Schizosaccharomyces pombe: one gene and its partner. The protein of the gene in region 1 interacts with the protein of each later gene in a pairwise test. Each region holds a gene or a part of one and is shown on either strand. Other genes may lie near its edges.

What was found.
Region 2: the proteins of fep1 (region 1) and grx4 interact in a two-hybrid assay, tested with the Schizosaccharomyces pombe proteins (3 studies listed by BioGRID, with this or other methods).

Annotation. Positions count from the first base shown.
Region 1 is NC_003424.3:439,944-446,746, reverse strand, and holds fep1 (Fe-sensing transcription factor Fep1), read right to left. Parts: upstream 4,527-6,803; 5' UTR 3,179-4,526; coding exon 1,484-3,178; 3' UTR 1,026-1,483; downstream 1-1,025. UniProt on the Schizosaccharomyces pombe protein: Transcriptional repressor that binds the consensus promoter sequence 5'-[AT]GATAA-3' during iron-replete conditions to down-regulate transcription of target genes. Represses the expression of the iron transporter fio1 in response to high iron concentrations.
Region 2 is NC_003423.3:3,955,499-3,959,399, reverse strand, and holds grx4 (CIA machinery monothiol glutaredoxin Grx4), read right to left. Parts: upstream 2,017-3,901; 5' UTR 1,897-2,016; coding exon 1,162-1,896; 3' UTR 921-1,161; downstream 1-920. Other genes in the region: pph3 (serine/threonine protein phosphatase), read left to right, coding at 3,471-3,540, 3,656-3,901. UniProt on the Schizosaccharomyces pombe protein: Monothiol glutaredoxin involved in the biogenesis of iron-sulfur clusters. Binds one iron-sulfur cluster per dimer. The iron-sulfur cluster is bound between subunits, and is complexed by a bound glutathione and a cysteine residue from each subunit.

The DNA.
Region 1 (6,803 bases):
TGAACCGAGGTGGTAAAATCTCATTGAATCTCGATTTGGTGTTTACAAAGTACTTTGCGCAACATATCCTTAACGATTCGTTAAAAAAATATCGTTCTAAATATTATAGCATAATGGGATAACGACAAATATTATAAGCATTTTTATGTCAAGTCCAATCAATCATCTATCAGACTATCCAGAATTTATATTTTTCTTTTAGATAATACATGTGTCTTTAATTATTTGAATACCATGAAGAACGCCCGAGAGGCATTCAATTGCCTATTTATCTGATTCATATTGCGAGTATTATTCTACGATCGCATTTGCTCTCTTCTACAGGCTTAACACTTTGGAAATGATGAACGAAAAATGTGAAGTTCATTAATTTGTATTCATTTTCCAAATTATTGCATTAATGTGTTAGCTCTTTCATGCTAAAGACTACTACCTAAACTCGTTGATTTCAACTTGCAGAAAACAATATTACAATACACTTGAAAGTATAGTCAGCGGAGAATAGAACAAATGGAGTAAATTATTATAACAATCCAAAAATATGTTACATTGCTGTTAAGATTCAGAAAAGCTTAGGATGTTTAGAGTAGTAGTGTAGATTAACTGTTTATCAATATTATACTAAAACATCTCATTATGGTTCAAGTTCGCTATTGTTGAATTTTACAAAAAGTCTAGTCCCGCCGGGGATCGAACCCGGGACCTTCTCCGTGTGAAGGAGAAATCATACCACTAGAACACGGGACTGTTGGTTGTTAACAGAAAAACTAAATGATATATATCATAATTACATTATTATTGATTTAAATAGATTAAATAATGAATAGCGAAGTTATTTGAGCTGAAAATTAAGTGTAAGTTTTTTATATATGTGCTGTAATGAACAATTAAAATTTCAGCCTAATCATATAGTTTTAAAAGTCAAGCAATGACTTTTTGCGAATGAACTAATTAACCATGGATACTGCTTTTTACAAGCAACTCCATTTTCCGTTTTAAATAGTTGTATACAAATGTTTTTTCCCCCGAAAAATTGTAAAAATATATTAATGAATTGACAATTTCCAAATGAGTTTGCACTCGGGCAGTTTAAATATATTTAATATATTAACTATCTACATACCATATAAATCCGGTAGTATTATTTTTTCTCAATATCTGCTTTTTCGATGCGTATTAATATCATAAAAAATGCTCCACATAGGATTTCATTAAAAACATATATGTTAACTCTAAATTTAACGGTAAATCGCTAAGGACTGAATATTATTTTCCAGCTCTTAACGAATATAACACCGCAGACGGACTTGGCCAATACCAAAACTAACGCAAAACAAAAGACCAATAAGAATCATGTGAAGTATTTTACCCTAAACTCATAGTATACAATGTCATGCTTGTAAGTAATAGACAGCTAAACGGGATAATATCTAATTTGTTTACCATAAATAAATATGCCGCACGACAAACATGCCAATCAAGTTTATGTTTGAAGAGCTCCAGATGCAACAACAGCAGGGGTTGAGGATTTAATATGTTCAGAAGCCATATTTTCATTGTCAGAGGACCTCAGCCATTCATCTATTTGTTGAATGTGCTGATTTAAATTGTGCAACTCCTGAATCATTAAATCATGCTGAGAACGCAATTGCGAAAGAACATTCAAAGCATAATTGCGTTTATCTACATTTGATCCCTGAACTTCAGGAGGAAACTGCAAAGAAACCGGCGAGGTAGAGGATTGGATTAAAGGAGCTTGCTGAGATTGCGAAGGTGAAACTTCTGATTTCGGTCCATTTGACATTGATGGCTGCTTGTCGGAATTTGAGGGTGGCTCTTCGGGGTTAAGTAAGGAAGCAATTCCTTCAGCAATCCTTGGCTTTGCAGAAGTTCGAGGAGGCAAACAGACTGACTCGCCAACAGGAAGGATAGGAGGTAAATGAAACTTCATGCCTAAGGGGTTGGATTGGTTGGCAGTTGCAACGCCATTATTATCCGTGTTCGATGTTGTAGATTCCGATAATTGCTTACTAGAATCATTGCCAACTGCTACAAGCTGACCAGGGTATACTACTTGATTAGCTCGTATACCATTGGGAACATACTCATTTTGGTAAGGAGGCAATCCTTCATGCTTGTTCTCAGGAAGAGGCAATATTGATTGTTCCTGAGTAGGACCATATGAGTAATAAACTTTCCCATTATTATCAGGTTCACCAGCCGCTAACCGTGACAATGTCATCAATGGTGAAGGATTGAACGAAGAAGGCAAGAACCCGGTAAAATTGCTGTTGTATGAAGGAAATGTACTAGCCGGAGGTAATACTCCAGTATTCATTCCATGCTCAGCCAGACCTTCACCAGAATTTCCAGAAGCATGGCCATTACCATTGGGAAAAGATTTAGAAAAAGGACCATCCCTTGTAGACTGTTGCTTAACGGAAGATCCGGAATCCCCACTTGACATTCTTTTTAAGTTGTGTTGCGACTCATTCGCATTACCGTTAAAAACCAGCCTTTTTCGACGTTTAATGATTGCCTTCTTCATGGTAACGGGACGATGTACCCCATGAATTTTGTAATACAAACCACAAGCATTACAGATCGGATTACCCGACTCGTCGCGGCGCCACAAAGGAGTATTTGTGGTAGCACAGTTTTGGCAAAAAGTAACACTTGGTTCATGAGGAGGAGATGAGTCTTCATGCTGGTTATGACTAGAACGTCGTCTACTAGTGCCATTGCTAGTTTCAGTCGTGGTATCTGAAACGATTTGAGGTTTCGATTCTAGAGGTGTAGGCGAAGCTTTGGTTTCAGTGCTAGAGGGTACACTGCTAGGATTGGGAGATAGACTTTTGCGTCCGCTCTGAGACTTAGAAGCATTGAGACTTCTTATACGATTATTTAAAGCAGGACAACCAGTACATGAAGCACTGCCACCCGTACCGTTACAGAATCCATCTCCAGCACAGGTTCCGTTTTTACAAACTTGCTGTATCAGTGGAGAAATGTCTTTTAAATCTTCAGATTTGACAGGACGGGCATGCTTGCGATGTTTTTGATATAAGCCACAAGCATTGCACAAAAGGGAATTATCGGGGCCACGACGCCATAAAGAAGTAGTAGTTTTGTGGCAGTTGGAACAACTTTGGCCAAAAGGAGCAGGTTTCGCAGCCATTTTTTTGGTGATATGTAAAAAAGTTAATTACGAACGAATCAAAGTAAATGCTAGCTTTAAGTGAGTTGTACTGAACGAAATGATCCAAGCTTATTCACAATGGAAAATAAAAAAAAACAAGAAAACGATTGTATCGATATGTACAAATTGCAAAATTGATTGAACCCAGATGAGAACCGATGGATTGGATTCAAAAAATTTTGAGATTTCCGTAATGGATTGACAAGAAATTATAAATAATAAATTATTCTTCCTTGATAAAAAAAAAACAACAAAAATATGTGTAAAATATTAAAATGGAGAGAAAGGAATGCGCACGTTCCAATTATGATAAATATAAAAAGGGAATAAAGGAGTCAGAGAGAGATGCAAAAAAGCATAAATCTCCAAAAGTGAATTCAAAAATCACTATTAACAGAGAATATGTTAAAAGGTGACAGAACTTCGTGAATGATTTATTTTCCGGAATTTTAACGGAAACACAACAAGCATAGGACAAAAAAAGGAAAGAAATAGGAAAGGTAATACTGTTCAGTAAAACCAACAAAAAATAAAAGCCTTAAAGTACCAAGGCACCAAATTTCAAAGGTAGTACGAGAGATACTACGGATGGGATAATAAGAACAAAAATAAGAACGTGAAAGTTTTAACAGAGTGTTAAAGGAAACTTTTCAACAAAGTTAAAAAGTTAAAGATACAATAAATAGAAAACCGACTCGCAGAAAACAAAGAGCCTATCCTATGAAAAGGAATGGCAAAGCAAAAAATGTAAAAAAAAAAAAGAGTAAAGAAACCTTGGAGAATTCGAACAGTTTCCAATGGTGGTTAAATAAACCAAGATGCAACCTATGAATTGAGCGGAGAAATAGATACCAAAAAGTCAATTATCATAAAGCAAATTCAAAGAAGTGAAGAAGCTTTTTGATGGAGAATATTCACCAAATCCAGTAAGATGAGAGTGAACTAATGAAAAGAGTCTTTATCACACCAACAGATCAAAAGAACTGAGATGAAAAGTAAAAAAATCGTGATGAGAGCAAAAAATCTTTATTAGAAGAAGATCCTTGCAAATAACTCATACGGCGATAGTAGTTGTGAAAAAGATAAGTCAAAAACTAACTTTGCGTAGAAAAGAGAAGGAAAAAACGAGAAATAAATGAATTTTCAAGGCAAAGTCGCTCAGACTCCGAGAAAAAGGAAGAGCACTTAAACTTTATCGACAACAGTACTATTAAATAGTAAAAGATAACGATCAAAAACAATACAAGTAACTTTATCTATAAGCTGTCTTTTAATACTTGTAGAAGAAGAATGGTTGTGGGCAAATTTTGTTTATGCAGATATGTGTGAGCTTAGATAGGGAAGGAGATCGGGTAATTATATTGAAAATCCAATTGCGGTGGTGGTGGTTCAGGTAATATGGCCCAATCAGCAGAAATGAAATTATCAAGTAACGAAGGGGTAACAATCAGGCACCGAAAAAGCGAGACCAAAAGGGAGGCAGTTTTACAAAGAGCGCGGAAGACTGCGTTAAAACGATGGACTGAACAGTCAACCAGTCCAGCAGAACGAGCCTTAGGTGCAATAAGTAGAGTATTTTCTTCTAGGAAGAAAAGGATAACCGGATTCGAAATAAATGATAAAACTACGATAAGGTAAATTTATGTAGTAAAACAACCGGTATTTGTGTTATGGCGAAGAACCCGGCAAGAGTGTAACTATGGACTTGGAGCAAGACAAAAGAGACTTAACAAATGTAAGTGGTTTCTCAGTTTTACGTAAACAAAAGCTGATGGCCAAAATCGACAAATTTTTGCGGCCTCAGGGTTAAAAAAAGAAAGATGTGATTATGGTTGCCTGAAGCGGATAAAAAGATTAATCCAACTTGCAGAAAAAGGATGACCAAATTTAATGAAACTAGATTTTGGTGTGACCAAAAAAAAAAAAAAAAAAAGAACTTCCCAGATATCTAAATATATAATTATATCTATATAAGGGTATATGAGCAACACTATAAACGGTGTAAGTGTTCAATTTTGTAAGAAATAATCGACGATAGATAGGGGATAAGAACCAACACGGTAAATGACAATCAAGGATCAAACGAGAGCAATTAGGATATTAAATAGTGCTAAACCAAAACGAACAAAAAGGAGAATTGATTGCAGAGAAAGCGTTTAGAAGAGCGTTAAAACGGATGTTCAAGGAAGAGAAACTATCAACAGTGGTGGGCGAGCGGGTTGCAATGGTTTTACCAACTTTTACTATTTAGTGATGGTGAGGGAGATTGAATTGCCTGTTGTAGTTGCTGAATGCTTTTGTTTGATGTTGAGAGAATATGTTTGGAAAAGAGATAATCATATATTCAGTTCAGCAATACCAACTTTATCAAAATATATTTCCACTTTAATTTTTATACTCCATGCAGATAAAGTAGCTGAGATTTGTAAAAATCGTAAATCACTGAGCTCGAGTCTCGACAAGATGGTGTAGATCGATTTTGGCCAATTACATAAAGAACGATAATGATTTCAAAACCACGTGCGATAAAGCCTATATTTATCGACGGAGATATGAAATGAATTTTTCTCGGCAAATAGCAATGTGATGGATAGATTGCAAGAGGAAAGGAGAAAATGGGGGTGAGCGTTTATCGACCTGGTTAGGTTGCTGGATACCAAAGGAAAACCCACGCATCTTAGCTATTGAAATTCCTCGGAAATATGGAAATCATCTTATAGAGGAGAAAGAGTAGATGGGAAAATAAAATATAGAAAAAAATAAAAAACAGTATGCAAAAAACCATGTATGAAGCGGTGAGAATGGAAAATGTATTAGTAAGAGCATTAAAAAACCGAATATACAAAAATTTTGTGTTTTCTTAAACATCGTACTGTTTTTTTAAATAAATGGATTTTTGATAATGGATCTTATTTAATATTTCAACGTATGCTTTGGTTGTTTTGAAATTAGGTAGAGTTCATTACATATGGCTTATTAACTTAACTTGTAAAGACTGTTCTTTTCATATCTGAATTTGATATTCCCATATTGTTCACGAACTAGTCTCATGGATATAGTCTTTACTGATGTCTATTGATTGTACGTAGAATATCATGGTATGAACTTATTTACTTTTTTGAGTCGAGTTAACTTTACCTTATTTCATTGAATGTAATTTATTATTTATTTTATTTAGTTTTATTGATTTCATTTGTTTTTATATTTTTAAAGTATTATTTCATTCATCTGTCGCATATTTTTTATTATTTTATTTTATCGATTTTTTAGTTTCAATTTTTTATTTCTAGCCTACGCATTGGTTGACACTTAATCAATTAATTCATTAATTAAATTCAGTTAATTAGAAAATAAATATAGAATTTAAGTTTCTTTCTCACGATGAATTCTACTACATTGCTGACCAAAAACAATTTCAAATATACGCGCAATAATAATATTTTTTTTTTTTTTTTTTTTTTTTAAAAAAGCTAACTTGCACAGTTTATGAAATCCGTCAATTTCATCATAACTTTATGTAATAAGTCTTCATCTTCTCGATGCATGGATCCGTCAAACTGTCACTTTATCCAATATTCTACGGTTTATTCGCACGTCAATTTAC
Region 2 (3,901 bases), on another chromosome or scaffold:
AGTTGTTTACTATGTAGGGAGGAAAACTTTAAGGCCCATCTCGTGGCTTACAACACTAAAGTAGTTAACAACGCTGCACCGCATAAGCATTTGTTGCATTATAAATTTATACCGTTGGTTTTCGTATCCCTAAATTTGTTAAGAACCTAAAGTTTGACAACACACTAAAAAGGTTTTCGTAATTTACGATGTAAAGGTGTGGAAAATTTTTTAGAAGGTAGCACCAATATTATTGGCTGCTTTTGCAAAGCCAAGTGACTGCTTTTTTTCAAATACTTACTATAAAAAGGCATCGTCCGCGATTTTGAAGACCATCGACGATACTCCATAGGATCATTTCTATAGTATACGTCCGGCTTGGGTTTCCTAACCTAGCCACAGAACTCAACACGGATGATGATAGAAGGCACCGTTGCCCGCAGAGTGAGAATTTTTACTTCTTTGAGGATGTGCTGATCGATTTGGCTTTTTGCTTAATTGTTGTGCTATCTTTATTTGCGATGATCTCTTACATGATATGTTCCTTTTGGTCGTGTCATGTAGGGCAGCTGGTGTTTTCTGACGTGTTTTCTGTACATTTCTTTGTAACAATTGTCGTGAATCGTTTGTGAGAATTGTTATAACTTGATGTGCATAGTCAAAAAGTGTGTAGATGATGAGCTAAGCAGTATTCGGTTTTCATGTAATATGTGAGCAGTAGGCATTGTTCGTGAATGAGAATCTGTTGTTTTTAAGTTGTGAAATAAAATGTAGAGAAAGGTGTAGTAGTCGATTAGTTCTTTTGTGTGGATACTGGCGCAGTTGTATTGCATACTCTAATTGTTTATTTTTTCTGAAATTTGGGGGTACTGCTAAATGGTAAAGTGTACGAAGTAATAGTTGCAATGGTAGTTCTGGCTCCTTTGTGTATTCTTAATTAACCTGGTTGCTTATTATGCGTTATTTACTTGCTTAAACTCATTTTATGTTATATAGTTTTATTAACATTTGTTTTGATAAGTTGAGGCGGTTAGTTAACAAAATTAAATTAACAGAAAACTAAATCTGCAATCGTATTATTATCTGATTATCCAATTTAAAAGTTATCTTTCACAAAATCATCAACATAAAAGAATGATTAAGGATATTAAAAGTACAATTCTTCATATGCACAGATAACAATTAATTGGGAAGCATCTCTTGCAATTCACCATTTTCAATCATCTCCGAAACAATATCTAAACCACCGACGAATTCACCTTTAATGTACAATTGAGGGAAAGTTGGCCAATCGGAAAACACTTTAAGACCTTGGCGTACAGAATCATCAGCCAATATGTTAAAAAATCCATACTGAACGTTTTGCTCACGAAGTAATCCAACGAGCTTACGACTAAAACCACATGCAGGTTCTGAAGGAGTACCCTTTAAAAAGAGCATAACATTGTGAGCATTTGTTAGCGTGCTCAACCTTTCATTTAGTTCAGAATCCAACCCATTTGGAGCTTTAGAGGTATTGGAAGTAGTGTTGGTAGTCTGAACGGAATTTACTTGAGTTTCCACGGACGCGTTGGTAGAGGATATTTGGGAGATAAGGGGTTGAATATACTCGTCAATAGCAGCCTTCAATTTTTGAGGATTTGCCCCCGAAATTCTAGCCAAAACTTTTGCTCCGTGGATTAAAACAAATAGAGGAACAGCGTTTACATCAAACGACTCTGCTATATCGGAAAATTTTTCAGCTTCAATTTTTAAGAAAACGGCATTTTTCGTGTCCTTTGCAAATTGATCAAAGACTTGGTTCATTTGCTTGCATGGAGCAGCCCATGGTGCATAAAAATTGAGTAAAATTATTTGCTCTTTTCCATTTTGCAATATCTCTTGAAATTGTTCAACAAAAGTAATTTCGACGCTCATTTCCAATCAAAATAGCACAGCTTGAGGAATTATTTCTTTTCCTACTTTTTTTTTCAAAAACCTAGTTTATTCTTTTTAATCAACAATCAACGCCCTATTTTTTCCTAGTTGGTTGTCGGCAGGTTCGGCTGAGCAGTGTAGAAAACGTATCTAGTAAAATCTCTTCCTTGCACAATAGGCGACGCAAATGATATAATTGCAGCAAAAAACATATCCAAGTAAATTACTCGAAATTTTTTAGTTAAACCACTTTTGATGTACGTTTTGATGATTCTTCTTCACTTTTTTCATTGTCTATTCATTAAACGGCATTCTCGATCTCATTTTTTTAATTACCATCGTGACTGATCAGATAACTTTATCCCTCGGTATTAAAACGTCTGGAAAATAATTTTTTCGGCAAAAAAAACTAGTGTGTTGCGCTTATACTCCGATTCTACGTAATACCCAAACAATTCTGTTAACATTTTATTTTTGTATGTTGTACATAAAATTAACAGTCGCTTTACTAGCCAAATGAGTTTATAACAAGCGACCAAAACAACCAAGATGAGATATGTTTCATACTTGATAAAAACAACAGCATACACATTGATTGATATAGTTAAAGTATTAAAAAATTGCATTGTACTGCTCAGGGCAAGCATTTCTTACACACCTCATTCTTTTGATAGTACGCAAATTGCAGTAAACCATATTGAAAGATAGAAAGAATATATTTCTAAAATCTTTTTAGTTATTTGAACATCTTGAGTTGCCGACTGAACATAAGTAAAGAATAGTATGCAAATTATGTTAAAGCTTCACATAAATTATGGGTTTGCAACACGAATTGACTATACAGTTTTTCTATATTGAGTGTATATTCCGCCACAGGGGTACGCCTTCAGCATACAGATTATTTTACCTATAATTGTGAGTGTTATCTGATTTTTACCAAGAAGCTATAGTGTTATGTAGTTTATTTCACAAAAACCCTATAACATCAAAGCTGCGCATTTGTGCGAACAATTTAGATCCGTTAGAACTATAGGAGTTTTTCTTATAATCTAGATATATATATGAGTAGGTGCACGTTCTTGTATTAGCGTTATAAAAACTCAAGATCAATGATAATACGGCATGCTATAATAATCATACTGGAGTAGCATGCAACTTAATTAAAAGATTCTAGTTCATCATTAATTTTAAGTATAAATGATTAAAAAAAAACAATCTAATACAAAAACTTGTGTCCATTTCATTTCGAGATGAAAGCACTAATAATGGTGGAGCAACCGTATTTTTCTGAAAAACAATCTAGCGTAACGCAACGTATGTGTCAATAAAATTCGGAAGCTGCTAATTAAGGAGGTCATGTTAATTATTTTAAAAGTCATTATCAAAAGGAAAACCGAATTTTAGTCACCAAAGCTCTACGCGTCATACCTCTTGACAGAGGTATTTTGACTTATTTAAAATTAAATTTCTTAAATGATACATAAAGTTGAAAAAGAATTTCACTTGTTTATTTTCTTATTCTAAAGGACCAAGTTATTCTAGTTTTCTTTACTTTATGTTTTGACGAGTTCAAAATGACTGATTTAGATTTGGATTGGCAACTTGAGGAACTGGAGAACGGAAGGTTAATTCCAGAATCAAATGGTATGTATAATAGTATTTATAGAATAACTTTTATCTCCGTCGATATAACAACGATCATTCATATTGGTTGTTCTTTGCCATAATTATAAGAATGGGGTCTAACGTTTTGTGGTAGTTGTTGAACTTTGTCAGCGTGTAAGAGATATTTTAATTGAGGAATCTAACATACAATGGATCTCATCTCCTGTAACCATTTGTGGTGATATCCATGGCCAATTGCATGATTTACTGGAGCTTTTTCGAATTGGTGGGTCATGTCCAGGTACAAAATATTTATTTCTAGGGGATTTTGTTGATAGAGGGTTTTACTCTGTAGAAACATTTCTCCTGTTATTGACTTTAAAATGTAAATATCCGAAAG